Linked DNA regions of Oryctolagus cuniculus. The protein of the gene in region 1 binds, or shares a complex with, the protein of each later gene. Links are inferred from orthologs where the notes say so. Each region holds a gene or a part of one and is shown in the gene's direction. Other genes may lie near its edges.

Region 1 (4,831 bases):
TTCGACAGATAACTGCTTGCACTGTTGGTTACAACACCGGGGCGGCCCCTGCCCTGCACACGTCTGCTGGCAGGTGCATTGTGGTGTGTTAGAGGCCTGGTGAGCACTGCCTCCACAAACACCTATGGACTAGGTGGAATGGAAGAGGCGCTGGAACACGGCAGGCAGCGCTATGGCAGAATTGGGACCAGCGGGGCAGGGCGTTAGGTTGGGGCTGGGGTCCCCACTTCAAGCTGTTGCTCCCTCTCTTCTGGCAGAGCCTGTCATCCACTGTGACCCTGGAGCACTCGTCCCTCCCTCCTGGAGTCCACATCTCTTATGAATCCCAGTGTGGGGGTTCCAAGGAGAGGGAGGGCGAGGCTGGGCACCGAGGGCAGTGCAACAAAGTCCAAATCAACCAGACGGTGAGAGCCAGCCAGGCTGGGCACCGGGGAGGTGTGGGGAGTGGGCGTGGAATGCAGGCAGGAAAAGACGGGGAGCAGGCACTGAGAACAGGGTGGGAGCGTGGGGTCGCCAGCCCCCCATCCGTCCTGAGCTTTAATGCATGGCTCCTTCAAAGTGGGTATCCAGGGCATGGTGTTAGCAGACTAGTCCTTGGCCTACAAAGGGGTTGGGTTCTGGGCGGTTAGTGGGCCTGGGGTGAGTGCGTGTGTGACGTGGCCTGAACTCCTGCCCACTCTGCCTTCAGGTGAATTTCTGGGTTACCTTGCAAGCTACTGCCTGCCTCCAGGAGCCCCACCTGCTGAGGCTCCGGGCCCTCGGCTTCTCGGAGGAGCTGACTGTGGAGCTGCACACGCTGTGTGACTGTAACTGCAGCGACACCCAGCCCCAGGCTCCACACTGCAGCCATGGCCAGGGGGACCTGCAATGCGGGGTGTGCCGGTGAGGGCCTCCTCTTCCCTTCACCACCCGGCTCTCCACCCCCAACCTCCAGGGACCAACCCTGGCTCCCATCCTCCCCCTGGAGTCATATGTCACGCCCTGGAGCTGTGCAGATCCGCCCAGGCATCTCTTTCTTGCCCCTTGGCGCTCACTGTACTAACTCCTCTCCCGCACTCTCTTGAGAACTTGGGTTTGGAAGATCGCGCAAGAGATGGGCAGGGACGGTTAAGCCCTCTAAGCCGCCTCTTTCCTCCACCTTCGCCTCCCAGGTGCGCAGCCGGCCGCCTGGGCCGGCTCTGTGAGTGCTCGGAGGCTGAGCTCTCGTCTCTTGATCTGGAAGCTGGGTGCCGGGCCCCCAATGGGACAGGGCCCCTGTGCAGCGGGAAGGGACAGTGCCAGTGTGGGCGCTGCAGCTGCAGTGGACAGAGCTCCGGGCGTCTGTGCGAGTGTGACGATGCCAGCTGTGAGCGGCATGAGGGCATCCTCTGTGGAGGTAACTGGAGCCTTGAGATGGGCAGGGGCAGCGTGGTCTCCCCCAGGGGCATTCAGACTCTGGGTGTCACACCACTGAGCCAAGCAAGTTTGGAGGCTGGAGAGGGACGGGGTGCATGGCCTGCGTGGGGGAGTGCATCTGCCACCCTGCCTGTGCCTCTACCCCAGGTTTTGGCCGCTGTCAGTGTGGCGTGTGTTACTGCCATGCCAACCGCACGGGCAGAGCGTGTGAGTGCAGCAGGGACACGGACAACTGTGTTGGTCCTGAGGGAGGACTCTGCAGTGGGCACGGTCACTGCAAATGCAACCGTTGCCAGTGCTTGGACGGCTACTACGGCGCTCTGTGTGACCAATGCCCAGGCTGCAAGACACCGTGTGAGAGACACAGGTGAGGCCCAGGGGCTTGCATCTTGGGAGTGGAAGGGGGGCTGACAGAGCCTGCTGAACCCCTCCTGCCTGCCCGCCCGCGGTGAACGTTAATGCATTGGCCTCCACGGACAGGGACTGTGCGGAGTGCGGGGCCTTCGGGACTGGTCCCCTGGCCTCCAACTGCAGCACGGCTTGTGCCCATGCCAATGTGACGCTGGCTTTGGCTCCCATCTTGGACGATGGCTGGTGCAAAGACAGGACCCTGGACAACCAGTTGTTCTTCTTCCTGGTGGAGCACGAGGCTGGGGGCAGCGTCGTGCTTCGAGTTAGCCCCCTAGAGGGTAAGTGGGCAAAGGGGTTGTGCACCTGGCAAGTGGAGCCCCGCGTTCATCAGGTGGGGTCTCGTTCATCAGGTGGGGGCTCAGGCTTCTGGCCGCAAGTGCAAGGGCAGGGCGGGATGGGGGAAGCCAGTGGAGCAGGCCCAGGCCCTGGGCAGTGAGGACAAGCTCAGGCCCTGCTGTTTCCTCTGCTTTCAGTGGGACATGGCCCGGCCAGGGAGGCTGGTTCATCTGTCCTGTTTTTCTCACAGGGGGCGCGGACCACACAAAGACCATCGTGCTGGGCTGCGTAGGGGGCATCGTGGCGGTGGGACTGGTGCTGGTCCTGGCTTATCGGCTGTCGGTGGAGATCTATGACCGCCGGGAGTTCAATCGCTTCGAGAAGGAGCGGCAGCAACTCAACTGGAATCAGGTGAGGCGGTGGCCCGCTACCTGGGCTGCAGTGCCCGGGTGGGTCCTTCTCCCTCTCCACCCCCACGAGCTCCTAGGATCCTGCTCCTGTTCCAGGGTGGCCTCCTAGGACTAGGTGAGGGGCAAGGGCACCTGGACTTGCCCTCACCCCTGGGCCTCTCCCCTCAGGACAACAACCCTCTCTACAGAAGTGCCGTCACGACCACCATCAACCCGCGCTTCCAGGAGCCCGAGAGGCCTCTTCTCTGAGGCAGCAGCCAGGTAGGGGCCAACGCGCCCCGTCAGCGGCTGCCGCCTGGATTCCCTGCCTCGCACTCTACAGTACAGAGACTCATCTCACACCACAGCCGTCACCTGCCCTCTGCGCCAGAGGCCAAAGTGGGCCACTCCTCTTGCCACCTGAGGGCAGGCTGGTTCTCAAACTGGACCCTGGGGGGAACACCGGGTACACTGCCTGGCAAACAGCCGAGCGCCAACTCAGCCCAGGGGCAGGCTCCGAGCGCTCAGGTGGTGCAGGCCCGTGGAGGCCACAGACCACACTGGGGAGCTGGTGGCTCACCCGGTTCTGTCCTGCTGTGAACGCTACCTTGGCCGGCTTTCCCTTCCACACGGTCCTCTGCAGAGCGGGGAATCTTACCGGTGGCTTATACGGGCTGCTGTTGTGGTGCGAAGGGTCAGCTGTTGCTTGCCCCACTGCTCCACTTCCAATCCAGTGCCCTGCTGATACCTGGGAAAGCAGCAGCGAATGGCCCGAGTCCTTGGGCCCCCGCCACCCACGTGGGAGACCTGGAAGACGCTCCTGGCTTTGGTCTGGCCCAGTCCTGGCTGTGTGGCCATTTGATAGTGAAGATCCCATTCTGTCTCCCTTGTCACCCTACCTTTCAAAGTAAAATCGTTTACAAAAATGGTTTATAGAGTGCTGGAAGTTGTGGGGCAGTTACCTTCAGGTGGGGAGGGGGACATTCAAACCACTCTGCCTCCAGGGAAGAACACTGCCCACAGGATACTAAGTCTTCCCGAGCAGGAGATAGGACGTAGAAAAGCCTCACTTCCTTTTTATTTAAATACCCTAAATATATCACAACGGAACATACACTGCACTTTAATGGTAAAAAGATACAAGTTTATAACATCTTATAAAAACTACCATTTAAAAGTGATCTTGTTCATCTGATATTTCCCTCCCCAATAGCAAAATAAGTATATTAAAAAAAAAGGGGGGGGTAGGAGGGGCTATGGAAGGGGGACGCCCCCGGGCGGCAGCAGAGGCAGAGCATCTGGGGAGGGGGACAGTCAAGGTGGGCTCTGCTCACCTATCCTCCAGTGTCAAGCCATGGGGCACAGTCAGTAGCTAAGTGATGACGAGAGGCTGCGGGGGTGGCTGGAGGGGAGGGGTGCTGGCAGGGCGTGGGGCAGTAGCCCACCCAGGGACTGGCACCACTTTCTCCCAGGTCCCATTCCACATCCTGGTGTGAGAGCTGCCCTGCCTCCACCTACCCTCACCCCAAACATACCTGAGGCATCTTTCCAGTGCTAGGCTCACCCCAGCCAAGGGGCAAGGGGAGGCACTGGGCCCAGGAGCCTGTGCTGCCATCTTGGTCTGGGTTTCCTGGGGTGTGAGTGGGGCTCCTGGGCCCCAGGCACTCCTCTGCTCCTCTCTCCCATGTTTGCTGCCCCAGGACATTTGCATGCCAGCAACCAAACTGCCCTCCTGCTGTGAGGCTCCCCCACTCCCAAGCCAGGGCGGAGGAGCTCTGGCACAGCCATGTGCAGGCACAAGTCCCCTCCCTCCTACCCACCCAGTTGGGCAGGGAGCCAAGGCCTGCAGGGGCCAGGGCACATTCTGATCGAGCACACCTATGCACACATGGGGTCATAGGTCACCCCCATGTTGCTCCTCACACCCCTCCCCCCCAAACAGTGGCACTCCAAGTGGCAGGGAGTGAGACCTCCTATTTTCAAAAGCACTTTTGGAGGGCAATTTCTAAATGCAGCCTTCCTAGGAGTGGCAGAAAAACCTAACAGGGAGAGAGAGATGCCCTGGGTGCAGGGCCCACAACGCAGGCCTGAGCTGGGCCCAGAACACACTGCCCAGCGCCTCCCCAAGGAGGAAGTCTAAAGGGCGCCTCATCTCCTTTTCCCCTGACACTCGCACCTCAGAGGGTGCAGCCCTCCTGGAATAGGTAGCAGCCAGGTGTCGGGGCCACTGCGCCCTTGCCCCCCATGCATGCAGGAGGCTGCTGCACATGGCCTACGCCCCCAGCCTGCGTGCAGCTTCTCTCAGTCTCCACGATTCTGTCTAAGACAGCCCTCCCCACACAGGTCAGGGCAGGCCACAG
Region 2 (6,100 bases), on another chromosome or scaffold:
CCATGGAAGGCCTTGGGCCTGAGGCTGACTCCAGCGCTGTCCACGAGGGGTTACGTCTGCTCTACGCTCTACCCTCCCTCCATGCTCCTCTCTCCCCGGCCCCAGCACTCTGCAGCCCTCTGCATTCTCCCCAGCTTCCTAGGACTCAGGCAGTTGGGTGGTTCCAACAGGGGCAGGCTGGGGCAGACCCCACAGACCCCAGGGAAGCCCCTGCCTCATGCAGAACACCCCTCCACCTGGGAGTGTTCTGTTCAATTTTTTTAATTTAGAATAATTTAAAGATCACAGAACGTTTCCAAGGATAGAGCGAGGATTGTGCCACGTTGTATCTTGTCCTTCCTCCCTTCCCTGTCTGGACCACGCACCAAGCACCACCCAGCTTTACCCCTGCTGTGTGCTGTGGCCACAGTGGAGTCAGCACGTTCAGGAAGTGTGTTCAGCATGTTATCAGAATGATAGCTGCCGACTTGTCATGTCCAGGTCTCTGTCCTGTCAGCGGTCTCTCAGAGACTGTTACCACCACGTTTTTCTGGTCTGGGGTCTGGCCAGGGCCAGGCGCTGCCTTTAGGGAGCATCTGTTCTGTAGCCTTGTCTGGCGTGGTTCCTGAGCCTTTCATGTGGTTTTTGAAGAGTCAAGTTTATGCTATAGAACGGCTGTCAAGTGGGTCCCTTGGTGTTTGCGATGTGTTAGGAGGCGCCTTGAGGTTTGCTTGGTTAGGGTGTGTATTTGTGAACACCTAGCTGTGTCCTAGGTGCTGCGAGCGAGGAGCGTCACACAACACAGCCTGGCCCTGACCTTGGGGCCTGAAGTTTGGGTGTTGGGGGCAAGCAGTTACTGTCCGTTGGGCTTAAAGGGCCCCTGTGTGTTCTCGTGATTAGAGGCACTGACAAGCTTGGGCGAATACATCTTCGATGGATGCAGGATGAGTCTGTTCTGGACGTCTACAGAGATGGAGAATTTGCCCGCTGAGGTGCCCCCAAGTCCACACTCTCAGCACGAAGTCCTGCTCCTCAGTCCAGCGTCCAGCTCTGCCCTTCCGAGGACCTACTCTATGACTTTGGGCTTCTCCCCTCCCCCTCCAGGTCTAGTGTCCTTGGGACTCAAAATGAGCTGAGGGGGGCAGGAGAGTCACGGAGCCCTGGAGTGGAGGAAGATAGCCTGCAACAAGGCTGAGCAGGTGTGCACGCCTGCACTGTGCTCTGGGGGCAAAGTCAGACCCGAACTCGCTTTCTGGATGGTATGCCGTAGGGGAACATGGTGAATTGTCATTTCTGCCCCAATAGCCACGTTAAGATTTTGTCATGGGTGTTTTGGTGAGACCAAAGCAGGCCATGCAAAAATGTTTGAAAGTGTCATCAGATCTCCACAGAACTGTGGCCGAGCAAGCTTTCAATGTGAGAAGATAAAATTGATTTTCATCTAGTCATTCAGTCAACACCACTCTTACCTTTATTTAACGCATTTCAAAGTGCACCCCTGGGGCAGGGTGCCCAGCAGAGTAGCTTCTTGCTAATGTGCACCCTGGGAGGCAGCACATGATGGCTGGGTCCCTGCCACCCACATGGGAGACCTGGGTTGAAGTTCTGGGCCCCCAGCTCAGCCTGGTCCGGCCCCAGCTGTTTCAGTTATTTGGGGAGTGAACCATTGGATGGAAGAAGATCTCACCCTTCCCTCCTGCCCTTTCAGAAAAATAAATTTCTAAAAACTGCTCTTCCTGGAGCTGTAGATGTTCATGTGAGAGAGAACCTGATTAAAGTCCAGTTCTCTGCACTGGCGATTTACCAAGGGCTCAGTAGCCACATGGGACTGATGTCTTTGTGTTGGAGAGTGCAGATGGAGAGCAGCCCCCTGCACTTCCCAACAACCCGGAAGCGGAGGTGCAGGAGGAGACCTGCAGGCCCTCACACAGGACTGCAGGCGGTCAGCCCTGCGGTCTCTGGTGGCTGGGGTGGGTCAGAGGTGTGCAGTGAGATCGCAGGAACATCACCCCTTCTGTTACTTGAGCAGCTCAGGGCTCTGTTAAATCAGGGGTTGCACCAGGGTGCTGTAGCCAGAGTTTAAAGAGGATCCAGCCAGCGTGGAACTGAGACATTGATTCCAGCCAGGGCTTTGGTTCTTTCTGCTTTCCTGGCCTTCCATAATCTCAGGGCCTTGAGTGCACAGGCAGGTACAGGAGCCCAGTTTCTGGCCCGGGGTGGGGGAAGTTCCTAGAAGAACGGGATCCCTGTCTCCCTGCCACCAAGGACCCTGGGCTGGGAGCTGGGCCAGGGTGGCCGGCGGTGGTCCTGGGGCAGGGCAGGGGACTGGGACTCTTGGATGACACGATGGGCTGAGTTGGTATTGCCCCTGCACGGCCACCGTCTGCCACTCAGCTCACCGTTCCACAGGGGTGTAGGTCCAAGTGTGGGTGATGGAGCAGAACCCACTGCTGGCTCTAAGCTCCCAGGAACCAGCCCACAACTACTGAGAAAGCCACGTGGCTGGCGGTGTACAAGCAGAAACGTGCCTACTCGAGAGTGCCTGCCTGCCCGTGGGTGCCTGCTGGTCTCTGTCCCCGCCTCCTGGCCTCCTAAACCGACGAGGGGAAGCTGAGGCTCCTCTGCAGCTCCTGGCTCGGTCTGCACGCAGCTGCCTCCGCTCCAGCCGGGATGTGGCTGTTCCTCTCTCTGCTCTGCACGGCCGGTAAGTCGGCTTCGCCTCCTGCCTCTGGAGGCTGCTCGGCCCCACGTCTGTCTGTCTAGCCAGGATCAGTGAGGGGAGCTTCCCTGGGGAAGGGGAAGGGCTGCTATGGCTGTGTTGACTGCTGACGGACGGCTCAGGGTTCTGCTGCCCTGTTCCCCAGGGTCTGGTGGGGGTCTGGTCGGAGTCAGCCCCCTCTCTCCTTGGCATCCACTCCGGGCAGGTTGTGAAGTCGGATCGTTCTCAGCGTGTGGAGGCTGATGGTGCCTGTTCCACCTGCAGAGCTCCCTTCTCTTACTGAGCGGGGCTCAGCCACTGAGGGCGAGGCCCCTGTGAGTGGGTAGGGTGGGCGTTGAGATCTGCGCCTTGGGGGGAGCCAGCATCCTGTTCTTGTTGTCAGGGTTCGTGTGAAAACCCGGGTGTGGGTGGAAGGGAGGCACTTCTGCCTGGGGGTCCTGTTCTGTGTGTTGAGCCGCCCATGGAACATTATGGGTGAGCCAAGCCGGGAGCCTGCCCACAAGGTCCCAGGAAGGACATGGCACGGTCAGGTGAACCCTTGGAGGTGGCTGGGATCAGGCCTGAGGCCAGTGTGGTCCTGCCTAGTGGTCTGGGGAGACTTCTGGGGTCTCCTGCCTCCGTCAGGAGCTTGGCAGGGGAGTTAGATGGACGTGAGCATGTGTAGCTTAAGGGCTTTTGGGAGCCTGCACTCTCCCTGAAAGCAAGCTGGGGCTGGCCAGTGGGCCCCAGTGTCTGGATGAGCTGAGTCCATGGCAGGTCACCGAGAGAGACCCAAGCCTGCACGGGGCCCCGGCAGAGTGTGCGTTTGGGGAGAGACATTAATAATTGATATTTCAAAACCAACAAAATAGTTGTTATGGAAAGATCGAAGTTCTGTTGAACTTCCTTTACAACGCCGAGCTGTCTTTATTGTCAGTTACACAGAGTGTGGAGAGGGCCTCACGCTGTCTCTGGGGCTTAGGACCCTGACACACAAATGCCAGAGAAGGGGCTTAGGGTGGGCCCTGGCGTCCCTCTCCCATGCAGAGGAGACAGCCAGAGAAGGGCAGTGACTCCAGGGCCACGAGCAGGTGCCAGCAGAGGGGCTCAGGCCCAGGCCCCTGTCCTGCCTGGGGGCCCCGGGACAGCTGTCCCTCACCGCAGTGCCTTTTCTAGTGGGTGACATTTACCAGACCCCTGTGAGGCCCGAGCTGCGAGGCAGCAGGGCCAGGTGGGGGAGGCGTCATCAAGAGCCCCGTCCTGAAGGTGCCCTGAGCCCCGCTGGGGGAAGCGATGCTGTGGCAGTTCCACCCTGAGCAAGGGCCCAGTGCTGGAGAGCTCCCTGCAAGAGATGACGCTGGAGCCGTCTTGAGGGCTGGAGAGTCTGAGTGGCAGGGAGGTAGCAGGGAAGGCAGGAAGAACCTCTCAGACTGCAGCCCCAGGACCTGGGCCTGCCTCGGCTGGAGACGGCCCACGGCTGTCCCTGGCCTGGCCTGCTCCTCACCTTCCATGTCCCCCAGCCGCCCTCCCTGGCCATGACCGAACAACGGCCCAGGGAGGTTTTAGGGAGAGTGCAGGTGCAGAGGGGCGCGGCCTCACGGCCTGCTGTCCTCAGGTCAGCCCCACCCCCGACTCATTCTGTGTCCACAGCCACTCACTTCTCCATCCTGGGTCTCAGCACCCCGGGGCAACATCCCTCACCGTGCAAACAGGGAACTGGGCTGTCTGCCCGTGTCCTTACAGGGGTGAAGAAGAAGGAACCAAAAGTCCAGGGCCTGCTCTGCTGATACCAACTCAGGCCGAGGCTCGGGGCCCTGCCGGGGCGATGGGAAGGCAGCATGTGTGGGGCATGAATGAAGAACTTAACTGATGGCGGGCCGGCGCCGCGGCTCACTAGGCTAATCCTCCGCCTTGCAGTGCCGGCACACCGGGTTCTAGTCCCGGTCGGGGTGCCGGATTCTGTCCTGGTTGCCCCTCTTCCAGGCCAGCTCTCTGCTGTGGCCAGGGAGTGCAGTGGAGGATGGCCCAAGTCCTTGGGCCCTGCACCCCATGGGAGACCAGGAGAAGCACCTGGCTCCTGCCATCGGATCAGCGTGGTGCGCCGGCCGCAACGGCAAAGGAAGACCTTTCTCTCTGTCTCTCTCTCTCACTGTCCACTCTGCCTGTCAAAAAACAAAAAAACAAAACAAAAAAAACTGATGGCGGTCATCATGGCGTGTGAATTGGGCCCCAAGGATGGGGCACAGTGGAGAAAAGGGGCTTCCTGTCTAGGGAAACAGTGTAGACAAAGGCCTGGGAGTGAGGAGTCTGGCTTTGGAGGGGGGGAGGGGTGAGGCTGGGGTGAGGCAGCAGCATCAGCAGGCCCCAGCTCCTCCCCCAAAGTCAGACCAGAGCGGAGGGCAGTGGCCCTGTCTGGGGGTCCCAGTGTGATGCATGTGTGCGCGCACACACACACACACACACGTTCTGACCCCTTGAGCCCCTGCAAGAGAGGCCATTACAGATGTCTGTGGGTCTCAACATGGTGGTGGGGGGAGGGTATTCAGGCAGAAGGGAGCCCAAGCAAACGTGAAGTGTCCAAGAGGGGCAGTGTTCATGGGAGAACCGGGGCGTGGCAGGGGGCAGGCCCTGTGGGAGCTCCAGTCTGTGCTAGCTTGGCTTGTGCAGGGCGGGTATGATGTGTGTGGGTCCTGAGTGCTGTGGATGGGGTGTGTGGGTTTACGGTGTGTATAGGATCTAGGGGTGGGTTGTGTTGGGGTGTGCATGAGGTATAGAGGGTATATGGGGTGTGTGTGATACATATGGGGTATGGATGAGAAGTACGGGGTGCGGATATATGAGGTGTGTGAGATGTGTACGGGTGTGGGGTGTATAGGGTGTGTAGGGGGTACGTGGGGTGTGGCTGTGTGTGGTGCACATGGGGTGGGTGTGCGCTGAGTGAGGGGATGAGATGGATGGCATGTGTAGTGTGTACTGGGGGGCACATGGGTAGCCCGGCCTGGGAGTGCCTCGGTACAGGGGTGAGGAATGGGGAGGACCCAGAGTGCCAGGCTGAGGGGGCTTGGACTTCAGCGGGAGGGCACCGGGAAGCGCCAGATGGCCTTGAGCAGCATAGTGACCGCCAACCTGTGTGTCGTATGGAAGGCGGAGGCCAGTGCAGAGGCTGCTGCTGTGGTCCAGTCCACAGATTGCCGAGGAGGTGGGGCCGCCCAGAGAAACACTGGGCATGGAAAGCAGTGCCCTAGGCCGTTGTCTCCCTGAGGTGGACGGAAGGGAGGGGGCAGCTTAGGTTGAGGTGATGAGGCTCCGAGAAAAAGAGGCGGGGCCAGCGCGCTGCTTCCCTGGAGGGCTGGTGCTCTGCAGGTGGGTCCCGGGAGGCACCCCCTGTCAGGCCCTGCTGGGTGCTCTGGGGCAGGCCTCGGG

What was found.
Region 2: the proteins of ITGB7 (region 1) and ITGAE are in contact, whole or in part, in a cryo-EM structure (PDB 8ZJF), measured with the Homo sapiens proteins. The link is inferred for Oryctolagus cuniculus from reciprocal best matches to the Homo sapiens genes ITGB7 and ITGAE. Residues at the interface, in NP_000880.1 of Homo sapiens: Val201, Leu202, Pro203, Ser206, Thr207, Val208, Pro209, Ser210, Lys211, Arg213, His214, Cys216, Pro217, Arg219, Leu220, Glu221, Arg222, Leu255, Asp256, Ser257, Pro258, Thr291, Phe292, His293, Thr294, Ala295, Gly296, Asp297, Lys299, Leu300; in NP_002199.3 of Homo sapiens: Phe36, Leu38, Arg91, His92, Arg93, Gly94, Leu111, Arg113, Leu118, Ser119, Ser120, Leu122, Glu196, Glu198, Arg230, Tyr233, Glu234, Phe237, Glu238, Cys239, Asn240, Ser259, Gln260, Val262, Met263, Leu266, Arg300, Leu401, Gln403, Phe406.

What each region holds. Positions count from the first base shown.
Region 1 is NC_091442.1:56,212,895-56,217,725, reverse strand, and holds the end of ITGB7 (integrin beta-7), read left to right. Parts: intron 1-257; coding exon 258-404; intron 405-688; coding exon 689-882; intron 883-1,151; coding exon 1,152-1,375; intron 1,376-1,542; coding exon 1,543-1,762; intron 1,763-1,875; coding exon 1,876-2,084; intron 2,085-2,332; coding exon 2,333-2,493; intron 2,494-2,660; coding exon 2,661-2,741; 3' UTR 2,742-3,399; downstream 3,400-4,831. UniProt on the Homo sapiens protein: Integrin ITGA4/ITGB7 (alpha-4/beta-7) (Peyer patches-specific homing receptor LPAM-1) is an adhesion molecule that mediates lymphocyte migration and homing to gut-associated lymphoid tissue (GALT).
Region 2 is NC_091448.1:49,068,564-49,074,663, reverse strand, and holds the start of ITGAE (integrin alpha-E), read left to right. Parts: upstream 1-2,523; 5' UTR 2,524-2,649; coding exon 2,650-2,683; intron 2,684-6,100. UniProt on the Homo sapiens protein: Integrin alpha-E/beta-7 is a receptor for E-cadherin. It mediates adhesion of intra-epithelial T-lymphocytes to epithelial cell monolayers.